4 linked regions of the Canis lupus familiaris genome follow. The protein of the gene in region 1 interacts with the protein of each later gene in a biochemical or structural test. Links are inferred from orthologs where the notes say so. Each region holds a gene or a part of one and is shown in the gene's direction. Other genes may lie near its edges.

Region 1 (7,903 bases):
CACAAAGTCTGTGCCCTCCTAGTGAGAAGAAAAAGAAGAGAAAACACCATCTTACTGGTGTCCGTGGGATTCCCTCTTGCTTGTCAACAAGACATGCCATTCTTTCATATAAAACAGAACCTCTCTGAGGGTATTTGAGTTTTTACAAACTTTTATTGGTTGCTATTAGATTCTTGGGATTTTCTGAGAAATGTCTGGAAAGAGTGTTGGTTTGCATTACCTCCCGGAAATGCAAGGTAAACTCTTCAATCCTACAATCTGAGAGCCAACTTCTCTCGAGAAAGGAGTCCCACTGCTAACTTTTACTGAAAACTGGATCCAAATCCCAGATAACAATCCTAAAATGAAGGCAACGAGGAGATGTGAGCTCAAGGACCCAGCACCGACTTCACAGGGCTGTGGTAACGGGAGTAAATTTTCCTTGCAAAGCAAAGCGCTGAGAACCGCGCCGAGCGCACAAACACTCAATAAACGTTAACCATTAATCAGCACCCGGGGGGGGGGGGGAGGGGGGGGAGGTGCTCCGGGAAACTCAGCCCCGAAGCGGAGAGCCAGCTGCTGGGTAGGGAAGACGCGCGGGAGCTGTGGGTGGCGGCCCAGTTAAGAAGCGTCAACCCGTCGTCAGGCAACCGGGTCTCCACAGCACCCAGAGCCGCGGCAGAGCCCAGCCCGCGCCCCCGGGACGCCGCCCCCGAGCCCCCGGGCAGCAGCGAGACCCCCGCCCGCAGGAACCAAGCACCGCCCCCGGCCGAACCGACCAGGATTCTGTACCTCCGACCCCGCCCCCCGCCCTGAAGCCCCGAAACCCCGACCTCAACCCTGCAGCTCGGGCAACGCCCCTGGCCCGGCGGCCACGAGGACTCACCCGACAGGGACCGCCGCCCTCACAGACCCGCGAAGTCCGGCTCCGCGGCCGGCGTGGCCGCCGGGAGCCCCCGCCTCCGCCCCCGCGCCCGCGCCGCCAACCCAGCCCAGGGACACCCCGCGCCCACCCCGGCCACACCCCGCCAGGCCCGCTTCCCTTCCGCGGCTGCCTAACGCTTACTCAGGAGAGCCGGCTTGCGCTGGGGACGACGCACAGAGCCCCAGGGAAGCTCTCCGCAGGCCGAAGAGGTGGCGACGGCCGCCCCGCACCGGAGCACCGTGACAAGCCGAGCGGCCCCGGCTCCGCCTCTTAAGCCGAGCCCTCCTCCCGCCCTTCCCAACGGCGAATGCGGCCCCGCCCCCACGACGGCCGCCGGGGTACCGTCGCGCAGTCGGAGCGCCCCCTCTCGCCCCGGAGGCCGCACAGCAGGCTCGCCTACACGTAGGCTGGGTGTATCTGGCCCTTTGCCTGGTGCCTCTGGTCTGTAGTGGGAGCTGTTAAACCATGAGAAATTCTTTCCAAGCTAAATCGATTCTAGCCCCTCTAGACCTTCCTAGCCGCATTGCTAGCCGCAGCCGCCGTGGAAAAAAAAAGATAGGGGTGACAGGGAAAAAATGTTTGCACACCTCCCCTGCGTATTTCTCCTCTTCCTGGAGTCTGGTCATCAATGTTTTGTCCTGGGGGTTTTTATTTTTTTTTTTAAAGATTTTATTTATTTATTCATGACAGACACAGAGAGAGAGGCAGAGACACAGGCAGAGGGAGAAGCAGGCTCCATGCAGGGAGCCCGACGTGGGACTCGATCCCGGGACTCCAGGATTACGCCCCAGGCCGAAGGCAGGCGCTAAATCACTGAGCCACCCAGGATTCCCCTTTTTATTACTAATTTCAACATGTTCGGTTCCCCCCAATACTGAACGGCCATGTGCCACACGAGAAAAGAGATCTCTAGCTTTCCAGCAGAGGGGAACTAAGAATCCTTTGTCCTAAGTTACTTTGTAAGAGGGTTTTAAAAACAAATTTTCTTCAAATGGAAGTTAATGTCGAAACTGCAGGCAGGGATGTGGATTCAATAATTCTAATGTTTTTAACTATTTGGCACGTACCGTACTAGGAGTGGAGGACACAACCCAGAGCCGCGTCCTGAACTCTTAAGCTTTTAGTGAAAAGAAAAAAATCCAAATAAATACATTATTACAATGCAACGTAACAGTTCTAGAAGCACCTACAGACGTTTAGAGACATCTAAAAGGAATCATTACTGGAGAGCGGAAAAAGTCAACATTTCATGGTAGAGATCCCTGAGCTGTTTTTGAAGATGAATTTGAGCTCCCAGGCAAAAAACAAGACAACACAACCGCCAGGGGAGAGTATTTCAAGCAAGGCTGACCACATATGCAAAGTTTCAGGATGATTAAAGATGAAGCAAGCAAGCAAATAAGTGAAATAATTAAACACTGCATTAACTGTTGGGGGAAAAAAAAAGTTGCTGAGATTAATTTGGCCTCGGGGATAGGAAGTGGTCTCACACCTTAAACGAATTGTTAAGAACTGGGTACTGATCTTTTCAAAACACTAAGAGCTCATACAGATGTTAATTTTTACAAACACGACAAAAGACCCTGTCGTAGCCTTCCACGAGTCTCCACAGCTTTCTTGAAATGCCGGAGAACTGCTCTCTTAAGAGACCCTTAGAGCCCAACCAAGGGTCCTTTGAACTTTACGCATGTGCAGTGACTCATCTGGAAGTAAACTGGGATGCCAGGTGTATCTTCGTCTCAACCAGCATCCAAAACTGCTTATGTCTCAAGTTTTTCACAGACATCCTTATTTTTGTAGGCTTTCAACAAACATTTTGTTTAAGGTACCCACACACCCACACGAAAACAGGTCTTTTTTTTTCCCCCAACACAGCCTAAAGAGCTAACCCACTTTTAATATGGCCGAGGCCGCGCCTGCGCAGTGCGAACAAAGAGGACCCGTTCGTTTCTGGCATAACGTTGCCGTGCCCTTCTTCCGGTGCGGAAGGCTATACCATTCTCACGCTCCGTCATTGTGTTTGTCCTAATGCGCGCATATAATTTTCTAAGATAATATGTTCTCGTTTCAGCCACAGGAGGATTCCTCTGTCTCTATTATGTAACCGCTGTTTGTATCGTGGCGTCCCGGAAGCGCTCCCGCCATCCCCGAATGGTCTGTACTGACTTCACCTCCGGTTCTGGGTGTCATGGCTGCCTCGAGAGATTAGTACGAGTTTGCACCTGTGGTGGGAAGGGTCCGAAGCCCACACCCAGGAACCTAGCCGAGTAAAGTTGCGTCTTGGTCGTGGAGGCGACAGCTTCTCGGATTCCACGGCGATGGCGGCGTCCGGGAGTGGTATGGCTCAGAAAACCTGGGAATTGGCCAACAACATGCAGGAAGCCCAGAGTATCGATGAAATCTACAAATACGACAAGAAACAGCAGCAAGAAATACTGGCGGCGAAGCCCTGGACTAAGGAGTGAGGAGGTCCCTGGCGAGACGCAGGGGATGGGAGGGGTGGCGGGAGTTTAGGACACCCAGGGGAGTGGGAGTTGCAGAGGGTGGGAAGCTAGTGTTTTCATGGACAGGGAGAAGAATATGCACCCGGGAAATTTGGGTCCACCTTTTTCTCCGCAAGTAGAGTCAAAGCCCTTCTCCTGGGTCTTGCTTCGATTCCCCTTCTTGTCTCTTTAACCCGTTTGCCTCCAGGGGATGTAAGGGTAAAGGACAAACGATTATAATTTCTCATTTCTCAATATCTATATTGTCATATATATGCCACACACTCTGCCTTAAGCCTTGTGTTGATATACACCTTGTTGAGACCTCTAGCTTATCTGAGACTGGAGACTGCACCCATCTTCAAAAGCCAAGTCAGCCCTGGCGTCTCTAACTATAAGCCATCTTTTAGACATTTATAAATCGATTGTTGATTGCTGGTAACTATTTCAGATACAAGGAGGCTCCACCCAGGCTCCCAAAACGTTAGTCCACCAGTTAACATGAACTAGAAATTTTATCAATAGAGTTTAAAGCTGTTTGCCCCTTAGCAAATGCCCTGTGTCTCTGGGAATGATGACAAGTGAAGGACTCTACCCACAGCATTTACCCTTAGTGTTAAGGGAGAGTAAAAAGAGCAGTCTTCAAATGGAGAGATAGAAAGGACAGCAGTGATCAACAACAAAACATTCTTCCATGTTTATCGAGTATTTAATATGGGCTGAGCACTGAGCTTAGGAATTTCTATAATATATTATTTAGTCTACATGACAACCCAGTACTGTATTTTCATTCCTTTTTTGGAAATAAGAAAATAAGCAAATACGAGTAACTTACTTCATGATCAGACTGAGGCAGTGAACTCTTAAGTGAATAATAGACTAAAATTCAAACCTCACAAGTGTCCCTAGTTCGTTGACTGGCCCTAGAAAATTTATGTATCTTCATTTTTTACCTGTAAAAAGAAAATTAGACCCACCCATTGGTGATTTCATAAAGATTAGATGAGATAATGCATTAAAAAGGGTCTACAATGTATGTAATAAGAGCACAATAACTTTTTTTTTCTTTTCCCCAGTGAATAAAGACCCAAGATTAATTCATGTCTTGACTCCCAAGACCAGGTCTCCATATTTTTCAGTTGTGATTGAAATCTGTGGGCAGACATCTTAAAAAGGCTTCTCAGGAAAGAAGAAGGAAAAAAAAGTAGGGGAGGGGGGCTTCTTAAACACATTGACCATATTATTAAAGACAGTTTGCTTAACTCTATAACAGGCTATGCATTTAAGGTTGCTATACTATAGACTACCAAATATTTGAAAACTATCCGTGTGCCTTATTGTCTGATTGCGGCTCTGATTATGTTCATCCCAGCGATCTTGAGCTGCATCAGTGAAACGGAAAATGTAATTTTATTCAAGAGTAGTTTAGTCACATATACATATGACAAACTTTTAAATAGTGATCAAAACAGAACTAAAGATATTAGAGCTACTTTTTTCATTTTGAGGCTGATAACACAGAAAGAAACAACACACTTTTTTGAGAGTACTATAAAAGATGGGTTAAGGCTAATAACAGCTAGCACTTAATATTAAGTTTTGGTATGTGTGAGGTAGTAAGATAAGCATTTATGTAAATTATTTCACTTTATTTCTTCCTAACAACAAATCTGTGACCTATTCCTATTTACAGATGAGGAAACTAAGGCGTGGGCATGCGGTGATTGTCTCTAGGCAACAGCTAGCATGGCAGGGCAAAGACTCAAACTTAATCAGATGGATGTCAGAGCCCACATTTGGATGTCAGGCCAGAAAGTTAGGCCTGAGAATCTTTAGGCACAACCATCCAACTAGACTCAGAATCAGAGATTTGGTGATTCCAAAATTAATGGAGAAAAAGTCTATTGAATTCTATGTAATTCCTTTCTACTTGAACAGCATATTTAAAACAGCATATTTTAAAAAACTATTTCATACTTTTCCCCTAAAGAAATACTTTGCAGGACCCAACATGTTTTTCATTTCCAGCCCCCTGCAAGAACTCTACTTCCCTTTTCTTTCCCACATTTCTACACTCTTTCCCCTTTCCCATCACTGTAAGTTCCTTCAATACTTGTTTTCTTTACAAAAACTATCTTTGAAATTGTGTTTTATATAAGTTAATTGTGCTGTACTTTTGTTTTGTAGTCACCATTATTTTAAGTACTGCAAAATCTCAGCATTGGCTCTACTGAAAATGGTGATGCATGCCAGATCAGGAGGCAACCTGGAAGTGATGGGCTTAATGCTGGGAAAGGTGGACGGTGAAACCATGATCATTATGGACAGTTTTGCTTTGCCTGTAGAGGGCACTGAAACCCGAGTAAATGCTCAGGCTGCTGCATATGAGTACATGGCTGCGTATATCGAAAACGCCAAACAGGTAAAAATGTTGCTTAAAGTTCAGTAATTCTAAGAGTCTCATGGAGACTCTTGAGTTTCTAAACTTAAACTATCCTCGTTACATAAGGTTTATATTTTATTTTCAACAGTGTCTATGTAAAATGTGTAAGAGGTTAGCATGGATATTTTTAAATAAATTCCCATACTCAAGAGAATAGATCTTAAAAGTTTTCATCATAAGAGAAAAAAAGTTGTACCAAATGTGTGGTGATGGATGTTAACTACGTTTTTTATAATGATCATTTTGCAGTACATACATATAGTGATTCATGATGTACACCTGAACTAATACAATGTTATACATCAATTATATCTCAATAAAAAAAAATTTTTTTTAATTCTCACACTCAGTATCAGATATATGTTTAAAACCAAAATTTGGAAACAACCTAAATGTTCCTGAGTATAAAACTGATTAAGTAGGGATGCCTGGGTGGCTCAGTGGTTGAGCATCTGCCTTCAGCTCAGGGTGTGATCCTGGAGTCCTGGGATCAAGTCCCACATTAAGCTCCTTCTATGGAGCCTGCTTCTCCTCCCTCTGCCTATGTCTCTCTCTCTGTGTGTCTTCGTGAATAAATAAATAAATAAAATCTTAAAAAAAAAAAAGATAGTACACTTGGGACGTCTGGGTAGCTCAGCAGTTGAGCGTCTGCCTTTGGCTCAGGACGTGATCCCGGTCCCAGGATCAGGTCCCACATCAGGCTCCCTACAAGGAGCCTGCTTCTCTGTCTGTGTCTGTCTCTCTTTGTGTGTCTCTCATGAATAAATAAAATCTTAAAAAAAAAAACTGATTAAATAGATTATGGTATATCCATACAATGAAATGCAAACCAGCCTTTAAGAAAAATAAAAATTGCAATGCCTTGGTTGCTCAGCAGTTGGGTGCATCTGCCTTCAGCTCGGGGCGTGATCCCGGAGTGCCAGGATCGAGTCCCACAACGAGCTTCCTGCATGGAGCCTGCTTCTCCCTCTGCCTGTGTCTCTGTCTCTAATGAACAAATAAATAAAATCTTCGGAAAAAAGAAAAAAAAATTAAAAAATTATCTGTATATTTTATTTACATGGAACAAACCCCACAATATTGTGTCGAGTTGAAAAAACAAAGAGCACTGTACGTGGTATGTCATTATGTGTGTTTCTATTAACTTACATATATGCAAAAATACATCTGCAAGATAGGTATGTAAGCAGCCGGCTATAGAGGTAACATGTGGGCTGAAAAACTGGCTATTGAGGGAAAAGGTGGGAAGGATACTGAATAACCTTACTGTACTAGTATCTTGTTGAAGTTTCAGGTATTATAGTTTGGGTATTATCTATTCAAAATAATCTTTTTTTTTTAACTTGAAAGCCACATTTGCTATCAACTGTTCTGCATGCTATTATTTTACCATAGTGCTATGTAAACAAATAAATGACAAGTGTCTCTAAAATTAAACAGAAACCTCAATCTTTTTTGTCCTCTTAATTTGTTAGGTTGGCCGCCTTGAAAATGCAATTGGCTGGTATCATAGCCATCCTGGCTATGGCTGCTGGCTTTCTGGAATTGATGTTAGTACTCAGATGCTCAATCAGCAGTTCCAGGAACCATTTGTAGCAGTAGTAGTAAGTATTTTTGCAACCAGTCTTATTAAGTTCTTCTTGAAGAATTATTTAAGTAAGTACACTGAGAAATAAAAACTGTAGTAAAGCACAACAGTCTGGTGTCATTATACCTAGGATTGTATCTGAATTCCACCTCTTAGAAGCTGGGACTTATGTCTGAACAAGTTAACTAACCTCTCTGCAACTCTTCCCCCACTCTGTAAGATGAAGGTGATCACAGCACCTAGGTCTCAGTTCTCTGCACATAGTAGGCATTCAGTAATATTGACTGAATTGAGTAACTCAGGAATTGATAGAGCAGCTCTTGCTATGCTTAGAGTGGTTTAGATGCAATCCAGATTACTATGAGAAAGGTAGAAATTGTTCATCTAATAAAAAAACTTTCGAAAAAGAGATGAGCAAAACTTCAAATAACATTCTTCAATAGTATAATAACTAGATATAATTTCTATTAACTATGAGAATTCTG
Region 2 (7,730 bases), on another chromosome or scaffold:
GGAAGATATCAAACTTCTCTTTAAAGGACAATAAAGAGCAGGAGAAAAATTTTAGTTGACCATCAATGCCATTTTTATTGGGCTTCTCTTTCTCACTATACTATTAACCTTATTTTGTTGTCTTTTCTCCTGTCTCCTTGCCTGGTGCCAAGACTTCACTGCCATAGCTTCCAGCTGATAAATGATCCTTTCTACTCAGTGAGGTACACATATGTTGTGTACCTTGGACTTTGGTAACACCTATGTATATAAATTCCCCAACTGACCAATGCGGACGCATAGGTAGGGACATCTCTCTGTACCCCTATCAGCAGGAAGAAGTTACAGAAGATGAGACCTTCCACCCTCGACAACCTTAAAGATTTAAGGGTCAAAATTGTTCAGTGGGAATGATGTGGGGAACAATGGCAGAAGGAAATGTAGATGAAACTAAATTTCCTTATAACCTTCAGCCTATTGACAAACACTTGGGGCAAGCAGAATATAACATGCCTCCAGGAAACTCCCAACTGTTCTTAATGTTAATGCTTTGCTAAAGGGAGAAACAACCTCGGCTAGGCAACAGCAAGGCCTCCAGGATCCTGTGAGTCTTCTTTAGGATATGAAAGACCTTTTGGAAACTTCCCTTGGTCTTTACTTCCCCCATCTCCAAAGTATATAATCAGTTGTTCCTCACAATCCTGGGGCAGCGGCTCTTTCTGCCCATAGGTCTTGTTCCCATGCTTTAATAAAACCACCTTTTTGCATCAAAGATGTCTGAAGAATTCTTTCTTGGCTGTGCACTCTGTAACCCACCACTACAAACCATGTCACTGTTCCTAAATTGACTTCAGCCTCAGGTTTTCTGCAGACAGGTGTTCTCTGTGTTGGGCATGGCCATTGGTGTTATTAACTCATCTGTCTAGGACAACTCTGCTGGTGTCCTCCTGTCCTCCTACTGCTCTTGGGCTAAACTAGATGAAACCACTGATGTTTGTTGCTCGTGTTTCAACTGTTTTTGTTTTACAAAAAAAAAAGGTGACTTCATTCGATTCAACCTAATACTGCCCACATTTTAAAGAAGAGAAATGGGGGCGCCTGGGTGGCTCAGTCATTAAGCATCTGTCATTGGCTCAGGTCATGATCCCAGGTCCTGGGATGGAACCCCAGGTGTGAGTGTCAGGCTCCCTGTTCAGCAAGGATCCTGCTTCTCCCTCTGCCCCTCCCACCTTGTGCTCTCTCAGTCAAATAAATAAATAAAATCTGGAAAAAAAAAAAAAAGGAAGAGAAATAGACGCTTGGAATGATTAAGTAATTGGCCCCCAAATCTCAGAGTAGTCAATAGCAGTGTGAGGATTCAAACTCCAGTTTGCCTCCTTCTGAATTTCTTAGTATGATACATTTCATCAAATATTAAGAGCTTGGACCTAAAAACCAGCCTCTTGGGTTGGACTATCAGTTCATACACTTACTAGCCTGTGACTTGGACATATTTTCCTATCTGCACATCAGTTTTATCACCTATAAAATGGGGATAGCAAGGGGATCGCTGGGTGGCTCAGCGGTTTGGGGCCTGCCTTTGGCCCAGGGCGTGATCCCGGAGACCCGGGATCGAGTCCCACGTTGGGCTCCCGGTGCATGGAGCCTGCTTCTGTCTCTGCCTGTGTGTGTGTGTGTGTGTGTGTGTGTGTCTATCATAAATAAATAAATCTTTTTTAAAAAATGGGGATAACAAGAACAAGAATCCAATCCCTCCCGATGTGGAGGGTTGCCCTGGGGATCCGCAGAAGGAATTGTAAGTACAGAGTGTGTGTAGGCAGCGCCCGGCGCTTCGGAAGCATCCTATAAAGGGGAGCTATATTCTTCAGGTTTCCTCCAATGCTACTCTTCCTGCTTGGGTCAATCTACCAACACACACCAGCTTGGTGTTAGTGCAATGCACAGAACTGAGAAACTCCACGGCACACCTCATTACCACGTCAGGCAGGTAGCAGCGGACCGGCGAACCTCTTACAACTTCCCTACATCACTGCGGCGGAAACTACGAGGTTTTCCCTCCTTTCATTTTTCGTGAAGGGGGTAGTAGAGGCTGTGGCTTCTTGGGAGTACATCCGTGACTGGTCGTGCTGGACACCGAGCCCGAGCCCGAGCGCCGAGCCCTGCGGACGGAGGACGCAGCCTGAGGAGGGGCCGGGCAGTTGTCAGCAGGCCGAAAGGAAACCCTGGCGGGCGCGGGAAATTCCAGCGAGGGAGCAGCCCAGGAAGCGGCGTCCATTACCCCCCGGAGGGTTCCCGGGAGGAAATCCCCGTCTCCCCCGTCCCAGAAACCGCCGCAGGTTCCAGTCACCGTGTACCGAGTCCGGCGCACTCGGGCTCGTCTTAGGGCCCCAGGGGCACCGCCTGTCCGGGTGCGGGGGAGCCCGCTGGAAGCCGCGCGCCGCGCCGGCGGGTCACCGCGGCGACGACCCCCCGGGCCCCCTGTGGCGCCGCGGCTCCTTTAAGGGCGCGCGGCCCACGTGCCCCGTGACGTCAGAGCAGGAAGTGTTTGAGGAAGTGGCGCTGCGCTGGCCCGTTTGAGATTCCCGCATTTTAATGTCTTCGGGGAGGCGCCAGAGCCCCCGGTTTGGCCGCCCTAGCCCCCGCCTCCCCGGTCCTGGGGAGCGGCTGCCCCGCCCCGCGCCCCTGCCGACAGGTGAGTCCCTCGGGCGGCCGCGGGCCAGGTGCCGCCGGCAGACCCCGCGCCCCTCGGCGCCCGCGAGCCCGCCCCCTCCTCCCTGAGGCTCCCGGAGACCCTGGGGTCGGGCTGAGAAGTCGGGTTCTCCGGGCGGACCGCGGGAGCCGGGGTGACTCCGGGGGCCGCCTGGAGGCGGGGGCTCTGGGACCGTGTGAGGACACACGTGACCGGAGAGCGTGCCCCGGCCACCCAGGGCAGAGCGCGCGGGACAGGGCGCCCTCGCTGCGGTCCGGGGGATGCCCTTTGCGGGCCTCCGAGGGACTGTCCTCCCCGCCTCCTTCCCTTACGGCTGAGCGGGGTGGGGGTGGGGGGGTGACAAAAGTTGGCTACCCAAACCCAAAACCAAACCAGACAGCCTGGTTCATTTATAAAGTGAAAACCAGCTCCTCTCTCGCACCGAAGGGCAATGTTGTCTCTTAGCTTCTCCGTCTGCTTGAGTTCCATTTTCTCTTAACCTTGATCTTTTGTCCCCTACACCAAATTGTTTACAGAGTTAGCGCGGCAGCAGCATGAGCTGGTCACCTTCTCTGCCAACCCAAACATGTGGGGCCTGGGAGATGAAAGAACGACTTGGGACAGGGGGATTTGGAAACGTGATCCGCTGGCACAATCAGGTAGGGGCGCTGTGCACCTGGGCTGAGCCAGAGGCCGGGAAGACAGGCTCCTGGGAACTGCCTCCGCCCTACACTGTGCTGGGTGGGGGACGGGGTTCGTCCTTGGCCCTGGGCTTCTTGGGGGAGTGAGAAACGGGAACCGTCAGGGGGCTTCCGAGCTGCTCAGCTGCCTCTAAGTGGTCTCCAAGCTTTACTGACTATGGCCCCCAAATTGTAAAAATATTTTAACTTTTATATATCTTAAACTAGTATCTTTATTATCATCACGCTATCATGTACTAATATATTGTGTATTAATATTGAAATACAAAAATTGAAAAATTTAAAGAATGAGCATCGTAAAATATATTTAAGTGTTTAAAGAATTAGCTCAAAAATATTTTATTTATTTATTTATTTTTTTTAATTTATTTTTATTTTTTATTTATTTATGATAGTCACACACACACAGACAGAGAGAGAGAGAGAGAGAGAGGCAGAGACACAGGCAGAGGGAGAAGCAGGCTCCATGCACCGGGAGCCCGACGTGGGATTTGATCCCGGGTCTCCAGGGTTGCGCCCTGGGCCAAAGGCAGGCGCTAAACCACTGCGCCACCCAGGGATCCCCAAAAATATTTTAAATACATACTAATTATGTGTTCCCACTATTGTTTGCAATACTGCACAGCACAGACTATACAGATCCATAATGAAACAGAGAATTATCAAGGACAGTGGGTGAAAATCCGTATTTCAAATAATTTTTATAATTTGGAATTATTTGGACCTATTTCTGACTGATTAGATCCTGATTGTTTTTACTCTTTATGTGTCTGAAATAAGTTTAGTTTCTCACAATAGAAGTGTTCCTCCATATTCCTTTTTGCTTATGCTGGTGTTACATGTACTGAAGTCCTCTGCAGAAATTTCTTTAGCCACTTGTCCATTTTGTGAGAGTCATTTTATTGACCTCAGATACTACGATCCATAATCCACCTAAGCAGGGGCACATGTAACCTGAAACATGTCTCCATAGGCCCCTGTCCACCACTCCCTGTGGAATGCCCATTTTCCTCAGTATACCTTGGGTCCACGAGATATATGATCTTTGAAAAATAATCTGAGGAAGATTTCATAAAGTTAATATCAAAAAAGCTTAATTTCTATTTAATTGTTTTGGATTCCAGTCTTGGGTAACCCTGGTGCACATCTACCCCATTTGGAGACCACTGCTCTAGGGAACCCCCAGTCACTGAGTAACTGAAGTTGGCTTCCTGACTCCAAAATCAGACCCCCGAAGTCCTTGAAGGAAGCACTTGCTTTTTGATCAGGGGCTGCTGAGCACTTTTTTGGACTGAAAGGAAGTGTACCACTTCTTGGGAGCCAGCTGCAGCAGCCAGCGAGAGAGTCATCAAGGCTACTGGCCAGCCACATCAGAGAGTCATTCCAGACAGCCACGCTCCTTTATCAGTTAGTTGGAAGACATTCTAGGCCCTGCCCTGAGTCCTGTCAGCTCTGAGTAGATGGAACGACCCCTGGAGGAGTGGGAGCCAGAGCTGGAGGGCACAGTCCAGTTCCGGAGGTGGTAATTCCCACATTGAACTGGGAAACCAGAATTCCTTTCAGCCACAGCTGGAATTCCTTTGAGCCACAGCTGGCTCAAATGTGTTCTGGTCCGAGTAGAGCTGTGGGCCTCACATTACAACATAAGAGCCAGATCATTCTATGGCCCCACATATACCTGGGCTGGGCTGCTTCTAGATAGGCCACAGCTTTTAGATTCTTGACTGCAGCAAATATCTCAGCAGCTGAAGTAGAGATGGTTTTCCTCAAAAGGAGTTCTGTCCAGGTGTGCCATGTGTCTGTCATTTCTAGCTCAGAATGGCCTCTATGAATTTGGAAAGCTATTGTCAGATGGAATTTGTTCCTGGCTTTATAGATATGGGCCTGAAAAAAATGTGTGTGTGTGTTTGTGTGTATGGATTAGTCTTCTAGAATTACTACTTTCAAGTTCCCCTATTCGAAAACCAGTAGCCTTCATTTTTATTTTATTTTTAATTGAAGTTGGCATACATTATTACATTAGTTTTAGGTGTACAACATAGTGATTTGACGATTCTATACATTATACAGTGCTCACCATGAAAGATATAGTCCCCATCTGTCCCCATCCAATGTTCTCACAGTATTATTGACTATATTTCCCATGCTGTACTTTTCATCCCCCCATGACTTATTTATGGTACTGAAAGTTTGTACCTCTTAATTCCTTCACCTATTTCAACTATCCCCCAACTCTCTCCCTCTGGCAACCACCAGTTCTCTGTATGTATTTATTTATTTAAACATCTTTTATTTATTCATTTGAGAGAGAACATGAGCAGATATGAGGGGAAGAGGGAGAGAGAAGCAGATTCCCTACTGAGCAGGGAAGCCCAGTGCAGGGCTCAATCCCAGGACCCAGGATTATGACCTGAGCTGAAAGCAGGCACTTAACCAACTGAGCCTCCCAGGTCCCCCCAGTTCTCTGTATTTATGTATCTGTTTCTCCTTTTTTTGTTTGTTCATTCATTTGTTTAGATTGCACATGAAATGAAATCATATGACATTTTTTCCTCAACTTACTTCATTAAGGTAATACTCATTACATCCATCTGTGTTGTCACAAATGGCGAGACTTCATTCTTTTTAATGGCTGAGTGATATTCCATTGCATGGGATATTTTATGTGTATATATATACGTGCATGTGTGTGTACATATACACATTTATATACACATATATGTATATGTATGTATACATGCACACACATCTTCTTTATCCATTCTTCTATTCATGGACACTTAGGTTACTTCCCTCTCTTGGTGGTCATAAATAATGCTGCAATAAACATAGGGGTGCATATACTAGTGTTTTCGAATTAGTGTTTTGTTTTCTGTGTTTAAATACATATCAGTGGAATTACTGGATCATATGATAGTTCTATTTTTAAGTTTTTGAGGAACCTCCACACTGCTTTCCACAGTGGCTTCATCAGTTTGCATTTCCACTAACAGTGCATGAGGGTTCCCCTTTCTTCACATCCTTGCCAACACCTGTTGTTTCTTGTCTCTCTCATTTTAGCCAGTCTGACACATGTGAGGTGATAGCTCATTGTGGTTTTGATTTGCATTTCCATGATGACCTCAACCTGGACCTGTCCAAGTACCGGATGCCTCAGCCCTCTTCGGGTCGGGAGTCGCCTCGCCACTGAGCGCCTTGAGAGAGTAAACCTATCGGTGTCTGGGCTACAGAAATAAAATCTGCTCCAGCCATGAGGCCTGACATGTATAATCAGTGTCCCTTTTACGGGAAACGGTGAATTAGTTTATTTAACACCCATTTAGAAACATCTGTGCACAAGGGATTTTTCTCCCGTGAGCCAGAACCTCAGAAAATTCTGGGTTGATGAAATCAGAAATACAAAATTCTGATGTTGAGAGTCTTTTCATGTGTCTGCTGTCCATTTGTACATCTTCTTTGGGGAAAGTCTATTCAGGTTTTCTGCCCATTTTTTTAACTGGATCATTAGGTTTTTTGGGTGTTGAGCTGTGTATGTTCCTTTTATATTTTGCATATTAACCCCTTATTGAATATATCATTTGCAGATATCTCCTCCCTAGGTTGCCTTTTCATTTTGTTGATGGTTGTTCTTTCTTTCGTTCTTTTTTTTTAATCTTTATTTTTTAAAAAGCCAAAGTCAAATTGACAGTCTGGCCTCACCGTGTCTTTCTTAGCATTACCTCCTCTTGTTGGCTCCCAACAAGTTGGTTGGCTGAGCCTTCTGTGGGACAAGCCTCTGTCTCCTGGACAGCTTTACATAATCAGTATAGCTGCAGACCACCTCCTCAGTAAAGTTGCCATGGACTCCTTCATTCTATGGAAATTAGTTCTTCCCCTGAATTCCTTCAGTTTCACTCATTTGGCCTGCTTCATATACTGCCTTTTTGTCTTTGTGTATAAGAATGTGTCCTGTCAAGGCTCTGAGTTCCTGGTCAGCTGGGGCCCTTTCTGGTTTTGGCTTTCTTTCATTTCCCACACAGCAATTGTCTTTATGTTATATGTGTGTCAGGTGCATAAAGTCATTCACTTTCTATAAAGACCTTTTTGGAAAAGGGAAAGAGCCATTAATCAGTCATTACAAATGTAAACTCCCAACTATCATAAGTGTGACATAGGAGAGGGGCCCACGGCAGTGATCGGTCAGGAGGTCAGGGAAAGGCTTCTTCAAGGAAGTAATGCATAAGCAGAACTCTGAGTTATTGGTAAGTTGGCCCAGCTTAGCCAGGCTTAGCCCAGCTGGGAGAGTGGGAGGAGAGTTCCAGGAAGAGGGAGCAGCCTATTCAGAACCCCTGTGTGGGACAGGTCTTGGCAAGCTGGTGGGA
Region 3 (7,702 bases), on another chromosome or scaffold:
AAATGCTATAAAAAAAGTATTAACATCCTTGCTTTAAGAAAGGTATTGAAAAAAATTAAAAAATAAAAAATAAAGAGGTATTGAAAAGTATCACAATAAGTAAGCAAACTATCAAAACCTCAGTTTCCACATGTAGGTGCCCATCCCAACAGTAGGTTCTCACCTAAAAGGACATTATAAATTTTAGTGGGAACTCCCATAATTCTTTGCAGTGTCAGAAGTCCAGATAGAATACCAATTGGGCAAAGAGGTAAATCAGGAAGTAAAATTCACAATCAATAAAAAGATAAAGAGCAAAACGGATGAATCCAACTAGACCCCTTGACCACAGTGACAAAAACAACTTCCAAAATCACAACAACCTGGGATCAAAGACAGTAATTTCGGCTTCCAAAATCGACAATACTCTTGGTTAATGGCAGAAATGATTCGGCAGGTCAAGGGCAGGTTCCTATCATCCTACCGCTCTATTCTTCACCACCTGCCAAAATACTACATGAAGGGAGTTGTCATTTTATTTCAAGGATGAGAAAGAGGTTTTAACGCTCTGGAGTCCCGGGTTCCCCCAGGAAGGGGCCTGGATGAGCGGCACCCCTCAATCCCGAGGGCGGGGGCGCGCACCCCGTTGGAGCCCCTCGTAGGGCACACAGCACTCACGGCCGCAGGTGACTCCTGCACAAACTCTTCCTTGGACTTTCTGGCTTCCACTCAAACACCCCCCCCAACCCCCCCAGCTCACATGCCCTAGAAACTCGCACAGGAACCAGTTCTAAGACTGCAGCCAACCACCTGGCACCCCTACGCCCCCGCCCCCCCCCGACCCCGGCCCAACCCCGCCCAGCCCACTACCGTCCGGCTCCGGCTCTCAGGACTCGCCCCGCCCCCTCCGCCCACGTGACCGGGACCCCTCCCACCCCGCGCCGCGCTCCACCAATCAGCAACCACCTCCGCGCCGCCGTCGCTCCCCTTTCAAAAAGGCAGCTTTCTCCTCCCGCCTTCAGCCCCGCCCCTCACCCAACCTCCCCGCCCCGCTGGCCACGCCCACTCCCCCAACTCCCCGCTCCCCTCCTCCCCTCCCGCGGACCCCGCCCGCTCTCAGGCTTCGCCCCGCCCCACCCGGGGCAGCGCGCTCGCCCTCGTCTCGCGAGATCTCGGCGTCCCCGCCCCGCCCCGCCGCCGCGGCCGCCCGCCTCCCCCTCCCGTCCTCCCACCCCCTCCCCCCGATCTCTCCACTCTCCGGCTCTCCTCCCTCCCTCCTCCCCCCTCCACCCTCTGGGCCGGATCTCGTCTCGTCGAGGCGGAGGAGGAGAAGGAGGAGGAGGACGTTCGGCCTGCGCAGTGAGATGTTTGTCCGTCGCCGCCGCCGCCGCCATCGCGGAGGAGCGCGATAAAGGGAGCCGAGCCGGGCGTGAGGGGGACCCCGCGGAGGCGCCGCGCCAGCGCAGCCCCCCCAGCCCAGCCCCGCCGCAGCCCGAGCCCGAGCCCGAGCCCGAGCCCGAGCCCGAGCCCGAGCCGCCGGAGCCCGAGCCGCCGCGGCCGCCCAGGGGCCGGCCCGCTCCCCAGCCCAGCCCGGGGGCCGCGCCGCCGCCGCCGCCGCCGCCGCCGCCCCCCAGCGCAGCCCCTCGCCGGCCCGCCCGCCTTAAATGTGACACCGGCGCCTCGGAGTGCGACCCGAAGCCGCCGCCGGGGAGGGGACGAGCACCATGTCGAATCTGAGCAAAGGCACGGGCAGCCGGAAGGACACCAAGATGCGGATCCGGGCCTTTCCGGTGAGTCTCTCCTCGGCGCCTGGGACCCCGGGGCCGGGGGGCCCGGCGGAGAGCCGCACGCGAGGCCCGGGCTGAACTCCCCCAACAGGCCGCAGGCCCGGCCTCCCCTCCCCCACGCCGCCGGCCGCGGGGCGCGAGCCTTCCCGGCCACGGGGCGGGCGGCTCGGGGGCCCCGGCGCCTCAGGCCGGCGCCGCGCACCCGCCCGGGAGCCTCGGGCCGGCGGCGGCGGGCGGGCGGGCGGCGGCTGCTGCGGCTGCGGCGGGGGCCCCTGGGCCGGCCCCTTCCCACGTTCCCGGGGGGTAGGCCCGGCCCCCGGTGCTCCCCTCCCTGCCGGCGCCCCGGGACCACCACACCCGCGGGGACGGGGACTGTGGAAGTCTTCCGTGTGTGGGGGGGCGTGTGTGGAACTTTTCACGTGCGGTCTCAAAAATAACCCGGCCTCAACCAGGGCCCGCCAGACCTTTCGGGGGGTGGAGGGGGCTGTCCTGTGCCTCCGCAGGAAGGGGGCTGGCCGCCCACCTACCCGCCCCCCGACGCAGTGACCGTGGCTCCTTGCACTGCTCGGTAGTAACGCACGCACCTAACCTCGTCAGCTGTATTTATAGCCTCTTTCATCCACAGGCGTCCAAAAGCACTTTACAAACTCTTCTTGTGCAGGAATTGGCCTCGCCACTTGTAGGAGGGTCAAGGGGAAGCCAGAGAACACACGCTGGACAATGGCCTCTCCAGATCTTAGCCGTGGAAGCCCAGCAGGAGGGGGTCGTCACTGCCCCGAGTTGCTCTACGCTGTGGGTTTCAGCGACAGCAAAGGCTGCTCTGTTTAGAAACTTTCTTTTTTAGCGTTACGTTGAGTCATACGCTGGCATTATTTAGTGTAGAGAGTGTAACTTGGGATGCCATACCTGATTCAGATAGCCCATGGCAAGCAATTAAAGTGTACTGTTGTAACAGAAACTGGACGTTCTTGCCTCACGTCGCTACGGTAACAGGTATATGTCAAGAAAGGCAAACCAGCAGTCGAACGGAAGGTTTTGTTTTTTTTGTTTTTTTAAAAAAAAAAAACAACAGTAAAACTGGGGAAAGATCTTGAATGTCTTAGAATCCTACACACGTCATATTTTGGGAAGGGGGAAAAGGTGGGGTTTGTATTCACTGTGGGAAGGCTTGCTTTTTTCTGAAGTGTGATTTGCAGTGAGGGAAGACACTAATGCAGAAGAGAACTAATGAAGTCTGTCAGCATGTTTTCTCTTAACAGTGAAGTGAGCTGGGCTTAGGAATTTTTGAGTAATGTTAGTTTTGCTACTAAAGCAGTTGTGAACATGTTTAGCAGGATTTCGAATTATTAAGAGTTTCAAATAGTTTTCTGTATAACAAGTTTTCTAGGAAAAATTTGCTATTCTTGAAGTCTGAGTTCTTCTAACTCAAACTTACTACTATAATGCGGCATAGCTCACATTTGACATGAACTCACTTTTGTTAATATTGCGATTAACCAGTTGTACCTTTAAGCGTGATTAGCTTTTTCGTCCATTTAGGTTTACCTCTTCCTACCTGGTCTTCATTCCCTCATTCGTTTAATGAAGACTGAGTACTGTGTGCCAGGCACTGTTCTAGGAGCTTGGAGTAAGTCAATACAGCTTGAAGACTAAAGATCCCTTCTTTCTGGATGTTGTATTTATTATTGGGAGAGGCAGGAAAGAATTTCATGATTCCTTTAGCAAAAGAGTATAGTATATGATAGGTTAGCACATAGTCCTGAAACTGATTTTTTTTTTTGTGTGTGTGTGTTAATGATTGTGAGCTAATTTGGATCTTTTCTGTCCACAACTTGTTGCCATCTAAGATTTTCTAATATTCTTTATTGAAGTTTATAAATGACTACTGTTTGATACTCAGTAGTTTAGTACCTGCTAATTTTTAAAAGCATAGTTTTTCAATGTTTCATGATTTATAATATTCGTAACAACTTTCTACTGAAAAGAACCTAGATTTTTTTTTGATTTATAAACTTCTAAGTTACAGTTTCTTGGATAAATGCCTCAGTGGTATGATATTTCACCGACTTACCCTTTGGTAAATGAGTCCTTATAGACCTTCAAAATTTCTCTTTTCTTACAGGTTAGCAGTCTTCTAGTAGTAAATGCATACTGTTCCATAAAGAAAAAATAGCGTTTGTATGTGGTACAGATGTACAATATTTATAGCTATATAGTATTTTGTATTAATCTTTGGACATGCATTGTAGGTACTGTAGTTTAAGAAAATTATAGTTTAACCAAAGGTCTCAGGTGCTCATTTCAGGATTCTGTTTTATAAAATCGACGTGTAAAAAGTGTAAAAATATGTTTTGAGATTGTTTTGTTTTCATTGCAAAACAGAGTGGTAAGTGAACTCACAGGCTATTCTATAAGATGTGTAAGCATATTCCAGATACAGACCCATCAGTAAAATCAGGTTCTTTTAGTGTTTTGAGTACATATTTTAAGTGTTCCTTCATTATTGTTCCCAAGAGTAAGTTATGCCATACCACAGTTTTATCTACAATTTGCATTTTAAGTAGAACTTTTCGTAAGATTTTAAGAGAAATTAGTTCTTTTTTAAGATGGAAAACAGTGAGGACTTTATGGATTCATAAATTGTTGATGGAGTTAAAGTTTATCCCAGCCTGAAAGCTTTCCTACACTGCACAAAATATGTCATTTCACTTTTTTTTTTTGGTACCCAAAATTAACAGCAAGGGGCAAAATTTTTTTTTTAAGGAAGGAAGCTGTAGTTGCGAAACTCTTGGAAGCTATATGGATTTGGATCAGAGTGCTGCCCCAAGAAGTTTCTGCTCTTCTTTCCTTGCTGTTGTTGAATGTCTCACTCCTGAGCTTTTCTTTTGTTCTGCTATGTAGAATTAGTTGCTGTCAGGTGAACCTTTTGTCCTTTATCTTCGAAAAGCCATTCCTCTCCATCTGTACTTTCCACATGGGTTTTGTCCACATGGGCTTGAAAAAACTTGATTGGATTGGAGGGGATATATTTGAATGAAAATGCTCCTCTCTCTTCTGATAGTCCCTTCTTGACTTAGCCTTCAGAGTTTAGAAGTCATATTATGAAAGTGATGGTCTTTAGAAGTGTGTGATCTGGAAGTGGTTTCAGTTATTATAGAGCATAGTCATGATGAAGAATCTCTGGTTGTGATGTCCACTCCATAATCCTAGATTGGCTTCTTGGAGCTCTACCTGTGTAGCATGGACAGTGAGTCATGTAGAGGTTATTGTTAGAGGGAAACCACAGAGTGGATGACAATAGAAGGAGATGAATTTTAAGATCATTTGTGATGTACTTAAGAACACAAGAGTTTAATGGTAATTGGGGACACTTAATTTTGTTTTTCCTAGCTGTGGTAAAATTTGCTAGATTTGGGAAAAAACAGCTTTGATCTTCATAATAGATTTCCTTAGAGAAAGTAACAGTTGCCTAGGATTACCTGGACTATATACAGGAAAGCTGAATAATAGTCTGAATAATAGTCCTGGAAATCAAACAGGGTGGGGAATTAACTATATTTACTTACCATTCTCTAGCATACAGAAACTATGGAGTAAGTTATAAAAGATTCGTTAAAGCGTTGTTTACACTTAGACTGATTTGTTTAGTAGTTTCAGGACATCCAGTTATGTTGTAGCTGTTAGTATGTTTTCAGCTTTAGAAGTTAAAAAACAAAAGCGTAAAGTAGTTACCTATAAGGCATTTGTATTTTGCATTATCTTCCTAGATACTTCAGAGGAGCCTGGAAAATGATTAGTTCCAGTATTGAATTTGAAACTATTTTAAAGTATAGGGTATATTGTAGAATTTGGCCTTTTAAATAAGATTAGTTCATTGAGACAAGATGGAGAAAGCTTTATTTGTACATCATTCATTCATTAAATTTAGCTAAGTAATAACAGCATTTCTCTAATTCATGAAGATAATATAATTAAGACTTTGTATTTTAAATTGCTCCCATCAGATAATTTTTTGCTGTTATTTTCATTGAAAAGTATCTGATATTTGTTAGCAGTTTTGTTAAATTTTTGTAAAAGTTACTGGACAGTTCGTTGTTTCAAATGCAACTCTGAAAATAGATCTCGTTTATTCAAAAATACAGTAAAAAAGTAAAGGTGTTACTAGTAAGCACAAATCACTGAGGTATAATAGGACTTGCAATTAATGTCTGTCAGTGTATTGTGAAAACTATTAAGTTATAATCTGTCAAAGCAATGAATTCATTTTAGTAGATTTTCTAATTATAAAAGTGATGGATATTCATGGTAAAAAACTTAAGTATCTAAATTTATAAATAAAGAAATAAAAATCACCTCTTAACCCTACTGCTTGGGAATAAGCAACATTTACATTTTGATGTGTTTTCTTTTAATCTTTGTATTGTATACTTGTGAGCACCCAATAAAATTGAGGTACTACATTATTTTAAAAACTATTTTTTAAAAATATGGTATTCTCATGTTAAATGTATGAAGAATATGATTTGTAAAGACTAGTACTTTATGGTACCTCAGTTTGCTTAACCATTTCCCTGTTGCCAAGTGTTTTGGTTGATTCCAGTTAATTCATATTTATAGATAATAAAATTGTGATTATTTAGGCACATAAATATTTGAGTCTATCCATGATTATGGAGTTACTATGCCAAACAAAATTGATATATATTGCCAAACTGACCTTCAGAAAGGTAGTAATAATAATAGCTAACACTCAGTGAATGCTTATCTTGTGCCACACACACTGTTCTTTGTGTTTTGCATGTATAAATTCAATTCATTTGCACAACTCTAGTACTGCCACTAACATCTATTTTACAGAGGAAGCCTTGAGAACCTAAGAAATTTGCTTCAGGACACTACTTGTAAGTGGCAGGACTAGGATCCTAATCTGGCTCTAAAGTGAATGTTCCTCAGAATTAATTATACCTGTCAAGGTTGTATCGCTGTGTTTCTATTATATAGCAGTATTTTAGCCAACATTTTATATCTTTATTTTTCATAGGTGAAAAAAATAGTACTTTAATGCTTTAGTTTGCATTTCTTTGACTACTCATTAGAATAAAACTATGGATAGTCTGTAGGGGAATTTTCCTTTAATTTTCCTTTAGCGTATTCAACGTCTGTGTTAGGAGTATGACTAAAAAATAGACTGAGAGTGTAATAGAGTGTGGGCTTTGGACTGCCAGATTTTGAATGTCATTTCCACCTTTTTTTTTCACTGCATCATTTTTAACAAGTTACTTAACCCCTTCTAGCTTCATTTTCATCCTCTGAAATGAAACTACTAGTAGGATGTACCTTATAGGGTTGTTGTGAGATAAAGCATTAGAACACTACCTAGCACATGGCTATGGTTAATAACCACTATTTAGCCATTATGCCACGATGTAAATGTTAAAATTGAGTCTTATTTTTGCAGGTAGTTGTATTGTAATACCGTATGCTTGTTTTAGTGATGCTGCCATTTTTTGGTACTGTTTTTCATTTTGAAAAGCCTGCCGGTCCAATTTGAACCACACTAAGTCTCAAAGGATGCAGGTTTGGTGCCACTGGGGCACTTGAGAAGAATGCTGCTGGCTCTTGGGGGTAGATTTAAAAAAAGTTCCAAGTAATGATTCTCACTTAATCGTCGGAGTAGGTATGTTACTTCTTGGGTAACTTTACTGAAGAAATAAGCCTTCATTTGATGTGTTCTTCACATCCTCCCTTTCTCATCCATTCCCTTGGTTTGTTTCACTCTTGGACGAGAATGTGGTCCCTGCCCAAAGCTTATAACAGACACCCTTTTGAACTACAAAACACCGTAGTGTCAGACACAGTGTAGGTGGTTAGTGAATGATTAAATGAGAAACTAGTCCCTTAAGCCAAACCATAGTAATTGATTAATTGGGTAAGTC
Region 4 (7,804 bases), on another chromosome or scaffold:
CTTAAAAAAAAAAAAAGAGAAGAAAGAAAGAAAATTTTCAAAATAAAAAGTTGGAGGAAAGTTACAATTTTTTTTTAAAGATTTTATTTAGTTATTCATGAGAGAGAGAGAGAGAGAAAGGCAGAGACACAGGCAGAGGGAGAAGCAGGCTCCGTGCAGGGAGCCCGACGTGGGACTCCATCCCGGGCCTCCAAGATCAGGCCCTGGGCGGAAGGCAGTGCTAAACCGCTGAGCCACCTGGACTACCCGAAAGTTACGATTTTAAATGTAGATAGTTTTTTAAAAGTAACTTGCCATTTGCGGTAAGAGTTTATAGAATAGACCAAAGAAAGAAGAACACCAAACAATACCAGCCCTTAGAGAGACCCCAGAAATACTGAAGAGCCCCAGTTGCGGGGAAAGTGCAGCTGACCCCTGATGGACAGGTCACACCACGGCTCTTTACTGTACGGCACAGTAAATGTATTTTCTGCTCCTTACCATTTTCTTGATAACATTCTCTCGCTTGGCTATAAGAATGTCGTGGATAACACAACACAAAACACAGGCTAGTTGACCCTTTCTGTGGTTGGTAAGGCTCTGGGCCAACAGTAGGCTATCGGTTAAGCTTTTGGTGAGCCAAAAGTCATAGGCTTATTTCCAACTGCTTGGGGGAGTCAGTGTCCCTAACCCCCACACTGTTCAAGGGAGAGCTGTACAAACAAACCGATCTTTTACTAAAAACAATTTTTAAAAGTAGAATATTAGAAAAAATGTTACAGTAAATTAACTCCACCTGTCCTCTCCAAACAGAAACTGGAGGCGTGTGGAAGCACCAAGCACTGAATAAAAAGGGCCTCACGGGAGGCAGGGACAGCCTAGTGACTGCCGACCACTGCACGGACAGCCCTCCCTGGGCTGCTCAAACTGGAAGTGAGCGCTGGGAAGACAAGGCCCTGACAACTAGCTCTTCCCTTGGGCCGCTGTTCAGGGCTGTTGATGTGGCTAGTCCCTTTGAGCAGCGAAGCAATGTCTCCCCCATCCCTTGAGCGAAACGCAGGCTTGCTCGTCACCTGCCACACAAGGGGTGGATGCCTTCTTTGACGCAGGTGCAGGCACCCTTCCGGGCCCACAGGCACTGACAGGCTGACCCCACACCACCGCTGTGCTGAGCTCCAGCCCTTGGTCTCTGGCCAGGAATGCGTGTGTTCCAGGAGCATCCAAGGAACCAACAAGAGAACCTGCAAGCTTCGGGGAGAGTGAAAGCAAAGCAAGCCCTGACCTGAGAGCTGCTGGGAAGTAATCCCGGGGACCGGGGCAACAAAGACCTACCTGTGCGCAGGCAGCTGCCGACCCAGGATGTGTTAGGTACGAAACAGGGAGCAGACTCGTGTGCAAACCCACAGGGTCAGTAAGATTCAAGAGACACTTCCGACCCCGAGATCTGGGGGGGGTCTGCCTGGGACCGAAAGCGCTGGCTGGCTGCGGCGAGGCTGCCGGCCGGAGTGCTGCGTGGAAAGGCTCGGCGTCTGGGGCCAGAAGCTCGGGTCGGAACGGCTGCCCCTGGACGGCCGCGGCACCGCCTCCAAGGAAAAGTGCGAACTAGGGGCCGCCGTGCACCACGGTAAGAGCTCGCCGGCGCGGGAACGAGGGGCGCGGCCGAAGCTGGGGCAGACCCGGCAGGGCGGGCGGAGACCGGACTCGAGGCGTGGGGTCGCGGGTCTGAGCCCGGCAGGCTCGCCCTTGCGCCTCCCCAAGCCCTCGAGGGCTTTAAGACGCACATAAGACGCCAACGAGGGCCTGTAGTCCAACGGGTTCTCAAAGGCCCACCCCGCGGGCACCGTCAGAGGAGAGGCCCGAGGCCCGCGGCGGGGCGGGGGCGGCGGCGGCGGCGGCTGCGGCGGCGGCGACAGGAGCCCCTAAGCCCTCACGGTGCCCCCGAGGACCGCCCCCCCGGCCACACCCCCGAGCGGACGCCGGTGGAGCTTCTCGCATCGACTCCCGCCGGCCCACACCCGCGCCCCGGCCCCGCGTACCCACCTGCTGCAGGTACTGGTTGATGGTGATGTGCGCCATGGCCGGACCCCCCGCGGAAAGTGGGCGTGGGCGGGGCCTGCGCGCGCGGCTGCGTCCGCCTCACTTCCGGCCGCCGGTCCGTCCGGACCTGCGCGCCCCCCAGGCCCGCCTCCCCCGCACGCGGGTTCCGGAGGAAGAGAGTCCGCGGCAGCGTGCGCCCCGGGCCGGGATGGCGGCGCGCCCGGGCTGAGGAAGGCCGCGGCCTGCGCTTCGATCCGCCACCGCCTCCCGGCGAGGACGCCCGGTCCGCGCCCTCTGGGTGCCTGGGCTCCCGCCCGGGGCAAGCTGGGCCCCGCCGCCCCCCTCGACCGTTATACGTTCCACAAGGAGCGCGGCGGCCGCCGGGCGGCCCGGGGCGGGGGCGGGGGCGGGCCGGGGCGGGGGCCGGGGCCGGGGCCGGGGTCGGGGTCGGGGTCGCGCCGGGCCGGCGGGGCGGCGGTTGGGCGGCCGGGGCGGCGCTGACGCGAGGCCCGCCCGCCCGCGCGGCCGGGGAGGCGGGACGGGGCGGGGCGCCCGCTGCTTCCCGGCCGCCGCCATGGCCGACGAGACCCCCAGGAAGGGCGCCCTGTCGGCGCTGGTCGGGCACACCAACGGCCTCACCAAGCCCGCGTCCCTGGCCGCGGCCGCCGTGGCCTCCAAGCCGGGCGGCGCCGGCGGCTCCAAGAAGCTCGTCATCAAGAATTTCCGAGGTGGGTGCGGGGCGGCGGGGCGGCGGGGCGGGGCGGGGTGGGCGCCCCCGGCCGCCGGAAGTGCCCGTCCCGGGGAGAGGGGGTCCCGGGGGGGCGCAGGGGTGGGGGGAGGGGGCGCCTCCGGCCGCCGGAAGTGCCGCTCCCGGTGGGGGGGGGAGGGACGGGGGGGGCTCCCGGCCGCCGGAAGTGCCGGTCCTACGGAGAGGGAATCCCGGGGGGGGGGGGCGCCCCCGGCCGCCGGAAGTGCGGGTCCCGGGGCCTGGGGCCTGGCGCCTGGCGGGCGGCGGCGAAGGGGTGTCCGGTCCCCGGAAGCGCCCCGGCTGTGTCCCGGCTCCGGCGTCCACGCAGCGGGGGCCCGCAGCGGCCGGTCCGCGCCCGGGGCCCCCAGGACTGGGTCATTCCGGGAAGGGAAGCGGGGGGGCTGCGGGCCCGTGAGCGTGATCGTGGGCGCGACGGGGGCGCCGACCCTCACCCCGCCCCCGCCCCGCAGACAGACCGCGGCTGCCGGACAACTACACTCAGGACACCTGGCAGAAGCTCCACGAGGCGGTGCGAGCCATCCAGAGCAGCACGTCCATCAGGTACAACCTGGAGGAGCTGTACCAGGTGAGGGCCGAGGCGGACCCCGCGCGGGCGCTCTTCCCCCCCGTCGCTGCCGCACGGCCACGCGGCCCTCCTCCTCTTTATTTTCCGATCGTTGCGGTTAAGACGCGGAAACGGATTTTGTTACGTCCGAAGATGTTCCGTTTCCAACGTAATTGTGGAAAAGGAGCATTACTTTACGTATTCCGTTGATCAGCAGACCGGTTTTCCTGATAACTGGTTTTCAGAGAATAGCATTCGTTGATTAGTGCGTTACCTACCACCTACATTTTGCATGACCGTGTGATAGATACCTCCGTTTCTATGAAGACATTGGAATTAAAACTTTCTGTTTGCATAACTGTTTGTTGTAAGAACTATGGACATCACAAAAAAGGACAAAAATAAATTAAAACCACCTGTACTCCCGCCACTCAAGGAAGACCGCTATTGGCATTTTGGTGGACATCCATCCCTTCTTTGTAATAACTTTGTATGAGTTTATATTTTTTGATCGACTTTTTGAGGCATAATTTGCATAGAACCTGTACTTTAGTGACTTATATTGAGGTGTAAATGCTGTTATCATGGTAACATACAGAATTTTTTTTAAAACATTTTTAAAAATTTTTATTTATTTAGGATAGTCACACAGAGAGAGAGAGAGAGGCAGAGACACAGGCAGAGGGAGAAGCAGGCTCCATGCACCGGGAGCCCGATGTGGGATTCGATCCCGGGTCTCCAGGATCGCGCCCTGGGCCAAAGGCAGGCGCCAAACCGCTGCGCCACCCAGGGATCCCTAGAATATTTACATCACTTCAAAGAGTTCGTTCTCCTGACCTGGTCCTGGCGGATCACTGACTTCCTTGCTGTTGGTCTGTTGGACCAGTTTAAGTCTCATCGGTGGAACCTGTGTGGGGCAGTTGTCTGCACCCAGTTCCAGTAGTTTGTTTCTTTGTTGCTGGGGAGTACAGCTACAGCCTTTCACCAGGATAACTGACAGTTTGCAGTTGGTAGGAATAAAGCTGTTCTGAACCTGAAGGAATAAGTCTCATGTGGACATGGGTAAATATCTAGAAGTAGTCTCAGAGTCATAAGGCAAGTGTACATTTGACTTTAGGACATTTTCTGTTTTCAAAATGGCTATACCATCTTGTATCTGGGCAGCAGTACGTGAGAGCTCCGTTTTTCTATGTTCTTGCTAACACTTGGTATTATCCGATTTTTTAAGGAATTTTATTCACTTGAGTACACATGTACTGTTCTTTTGTATTTCCGTATGAATTTTATGATGTTTGCCAATTTCTAAAAAATAAAGCCTACTAGCATTTTGATTAGGATTGTGTCAAATTCTAGATTAATGTGGGGAACGTTGATGTCTTGATGGTACCAGGCGTGCCAACTGATGACACGGCACAGCTTTGTTTGCTTTTCCTTGATTTCTCAGTAAGGATTTCTGGTTCTGGTGTGTAGGTCTTGTACATCTTCTATGAAATACTCTTAAGCGTTTCGTACGTTTGGTGGTATTACAAGCAGTAGTATGGTATAAGTTTTAATTTCTGGTTCTTGCTAGTATATAGAAATAGAAATTGTTTTTTGTGTATCACTCTAGTACCCTGCTCTCTTGCTGACCTCGCTTCTAGTAGCTTTTTGTAGATTCCATGGGATTTTCTACCTAAGCAATCACATCACCTATGAATAGAGGTGGTTTCACTTCTTTCTAGTCTGCATGCCTTTTATTTCCTGTCTTGTGTCCCTGCACTGCTCAGAACCTCCAGAACAGTGGTGAGTAGAAGTGGTAAACCCACACTCTCTTGTTTAGCTCCTGCTCCTAGTGGGAAAAGCCTTCGGTCCTTCATCATTGAATATGATGTTGAGTGTTGGGCATTTTTTTGGTGGTGTTTTGTTTTGTTTTGTTTTCTAAAAATACCCATTTGTCAGGTTGAGGAAGCTCCTTTCCATTCCTAGTTTGCTGAGAAATTACCAGAAGTACCTGTTGGATTTTGATGACTTCTTTTATGACTGTTAAGATGATCATATGACTTTTGTTATTTTAGTTCTTTGCATTGTTTGACGTCTCAGTTGGTAAGACCATCCAGCAGTCCTTGGATAAATCTGACTTGCCTAGTGGTGTATGAATTTTTGATGTACTGTTGGTTTCAGTTTGCTAACATTTCATGAGTTTTTGCATTTGTGATCGTAGAATAGTGCTGTCTTGTTTTCTTGTAGTGTATTTGTCTCAGAGTTGCAAATGTTTCCTCTTTTTCCTTTCTTATAAGGGTTTGTATGGAACTGGTGTTCTTTTTTCCTTAAACGTTTGAGAGAATTCCCAGTGAAACCATCTTGGCTTTCTTAGTGGAGAGCTTGTGAACTGCACATATCTTTAGTGGCTAAAGAACTCTTCAGGTCACTCATCTCTTTGGATTCACTAATCTTCTGTGACGTCTGATCTGCCAGGACTGCCATCTGGTGAAATTCTTTCTGGTGCATTGGTTTTCTGTCCAGGTGCTCAATTTGAATCTTTTCTGTATCTTCCCTTGTCACTACATAATTTCCAAACATAGGGAATATACTTATGATAGCTGTTTTACTGTCAGTTCCAGGCCACATTTGTCTGCTTTTTCTTCCCACTAAGGGTCGTGTGTTTTTTCTTAACCCGTTGGATAATCTTTGATCATCAGACATTATGAATTTTGATTACTACGATAGATATTTTTATATTTCTATAAATATTCTGAGCTTCATTGCAGACAAATTATTTGGAAACAGTTTGATCTTTTAGAGTCTTGCTTTTAAGATTTGTTAGGACTAGGGCAGTATTTTGTCCAGGGTTAATAATAGCCCCATTGAGCGGGACAATCTTCTGAATGAGATTAGGTGCCTGATGTCTTGTGGAAATGTGCTATTTCAGGTTCTCTCTGGGCACTAGACACTGTTGTCTCTAAACTTTTTCGGTGGTTCTTTCCCTGGCCTTCACCGTTTCCTCACATATAGGTCAGTGCTCTGCTGAATCCTCAAGGGGCACCCACGAGGGCTCCTCGTTCATCTCCAAGCTCCTGTCTAGATGCATCTCTCATCTCTTCCCTCTGGACCTTCATCTTGGAGACTTGAGCCTCAGCTCAAGGCACCTGCTCTGCAGCCTGGAAAGAGTGATGTAGGTAGTCATAGTGTTGGGGCTTGTTTCCCATCTCCCAGAGATCTTTGTCTTCCATAGGCCAATGTGCAGTGTTTTGAAAACTGGTTTTTTGTTTTTGGGTTTTTTTGTTTTTTTGTTTTTGTTTTTGTTTTAAGATTTATTTATTTGAGAGACACCAAGAGAGCACAAGCAGGGGGAGGGGCAGAGGGAGAAGGAGAAGCAGACTCCCTACTGAGCAGGGAACCCAACGTGGGGCTCAGTCCCAGGACCTCAGGATCATGACCTGAGCTGAAGGCAGACTCCACGTGCACTGTAGAGCCTGATGCTAGGCTCGATCTCACAACCCTAAGATCATGACCTGAACCAAAATCAATATAGTTGGATGCCTAACTGACTGAGCCACCCAGGCACCCCTCGTATATTTTGAATGGTTTTTGGTTAATTCAGGCAGAAGAGCTAGTCTAGTCCCTTTATTTAATCTTGACCAGAAGCGGGAGTTTCATCAAATGTCTAAACTCTCATAGGTTTTTAGTTTAATAAAAGATTATATCTTGCAGCTAGGGCTTATTATGCCCCTTTTCCTGGAGGTTTGACTATCTGGTATCAATTGCCCACGATTTTTCTTAGTAGAATGATTTTGCCATACCTATTAGCCTGCAGGATGTCTTACGATAGTCACCATAGAAATTATTGTGAAGGCCCTGTGTGTGTCTTGAGACCCTGAGGGCCAGGGGTGCTTACCTCAGAAGGGCCCAGTCGGGGTCAGGTGATTGAGGAAGGGGCCTGGGAAGTGGCTCTTGTCCACTCATGGGGACTCACCCAGCAGAGTTCAAGGACAGGACTATGCAGTCAACAGCTCAGATCTTTTGGAAACAAACGGGATAGAAATAGTAAGTGACGTCATTGCGTAGTTACTGACTGCTTGCTTTATCCTGATCTGTGATAAAGTAGGCTGTGCTTTTGACTCGTTTCAAAGTAAAGTCTTAAGTTTTTGCTCAGGTGCTGTGGTATATGCTTTGCCAAAGAATCTTGCCTGAAAGCAGCAATTTTTTTAGCAAAGTGCAAAAGTGTTTTGAGGGTTTTGTTTGTTTTTGGTTTTTTTGAGAAAGTTTTCAGGATAGTTTGATGTTGATTAGTCTTCCCATCTCCCCATCACAGTGTCCCTTGCCTGTTTGGACACTGCAGGAGGCCTGCCTGGAGCTTCAGTGTGTCCATGACAGTCCACCTGTGTTTTCTCTGTTACTCTGTTTTTATTTAGTGGAGAGGGAGGTTCAAAGTGTGCTGATGAGAAAGTCTTCACAAACACACACATAGACACCGCCCGCAGTCACTCTCTCATGGT

The links. The genes of interacting proteins can lie anywhere in the genome.
Region 2: of the proteins of COPS5 (region 1) and IKBKB, one has a biochemical effect on the other in vitro, tested with the Homo sapiens proteins (2 studies listed by BioGRID). The link is inferred for Canis lupus familiaris from reciprocal best matches to the Homo sapiens genes COPS5 and IKBKB.
Region 3: of the proteins of COPS5 (region 1) and CUL3, one has a biochemical effect on the other in vitro, tested with the Homo sapiens proteins (2 studies listed by BioGRID). The link is inferred for Canis lupus familiaris from reciprocal best matches to the Homo sapiens genes COPS5 and CUL3.
Region 4: of the proteins of COPS5 (region 1) and CUL4A, one has a biochemical effect on the other in vitro, tested with the Homo sapiens proteins (5 studies listed by BioGRID, with this or other methods). The link is inferred for Canis lupus familiaris from reciprocal best matches to the Homo sapiens genes COPS5 and CUL4A.

What each region holds. Positions count from the first base shown.
Region 1 is NC_049250.1:17,043,402-17,051,304, reverse strand, and holds the start of COPS5 (COP9 signalosome complex subunit 5), read left to right. Parts: upstream 1-2,865; 5' UTR 2,866-2,884; intron 2,885-2,890; exon of another isoform or gene 2,891-2,975; 5' UTR 2,976-3,222; coding exon 3,223-3,365; exon of another isoform or gene 3,366-3,373; intron 3,374-5,574; coding exon 5,575-5,809; intron 5,810-7,305; coding exon 7,306-7,434; intron 7,435-7,903. UniProt on the Homo sapiens protein: Probable protease subunit of the COP9 signalosome complex (CSN), a complex involved in various cellular and developmental processes.
Region 2 is NC_049237.1:24,147,464-24,155,193, reverse strand, and holds the start of IKBKB (inhibitor of nuclear factor kappa-B kinase subunit beta), read left to right. Parts: upstream 1-2,499; 5' UTR 2,500-2,671; intron 2,672-3,204; 5' UTR 3,205-3,222; coding exon 3,223-3,327; intron 3,328-7,730.
Region 3 is NC_049246.1:38,006,879-38,014,580, reverse strand, and holds the start of CUL3 (cullin-3), read left to right. Parts: upstream 1-2,471; 5' UTR 2,472-2,486; coding exon 2,487-2,558; exon of another isoform or gene 2,559-2,727; intron 2,728-2,738; exon of another isoform or gene 2,739-2,759; intron 2,760-7,702. UniProt on the Homo sapiens protein: Core component of multiple cullin-RING-based BCR (BTB-CUL3-RBX1) E3 ubiquitin-protein ligase complexes which mediate the ubiquitination and subsequent proteasomal degradation of target proteins.
Region 4 is NC_049243.1:60,779,294-60,787,097, forward strand, and holds the start of CUL4A (cullin-4A), read left to right. Parts: upstream 1-2,573; 5' UTR 2,574-2,590; coding exon 2,591-2,744; intron 2,745-3,234; coding exon 3,235-3,350; intron 3,351-4,006; exon of another isoform or gene 4,007-6,466; intron 6,467-7,203; exon of another isoform or gene 7,204-7,325; intron 7,326-7,804. Other genes in the region: PCID2 (PCI domain-containing protein 2), read right to left, coding at 2,020-2,055. UniProt on the Homo sapiens protein: Core component of multiple cullin-RING-based E3 ubiquitin-protein ligase complexes which mediate the ubiquitination of target proteins. As a scaffold protein may contribute to catalysis through positioning of the substrate and the ubiquitin-conjugating enzyme.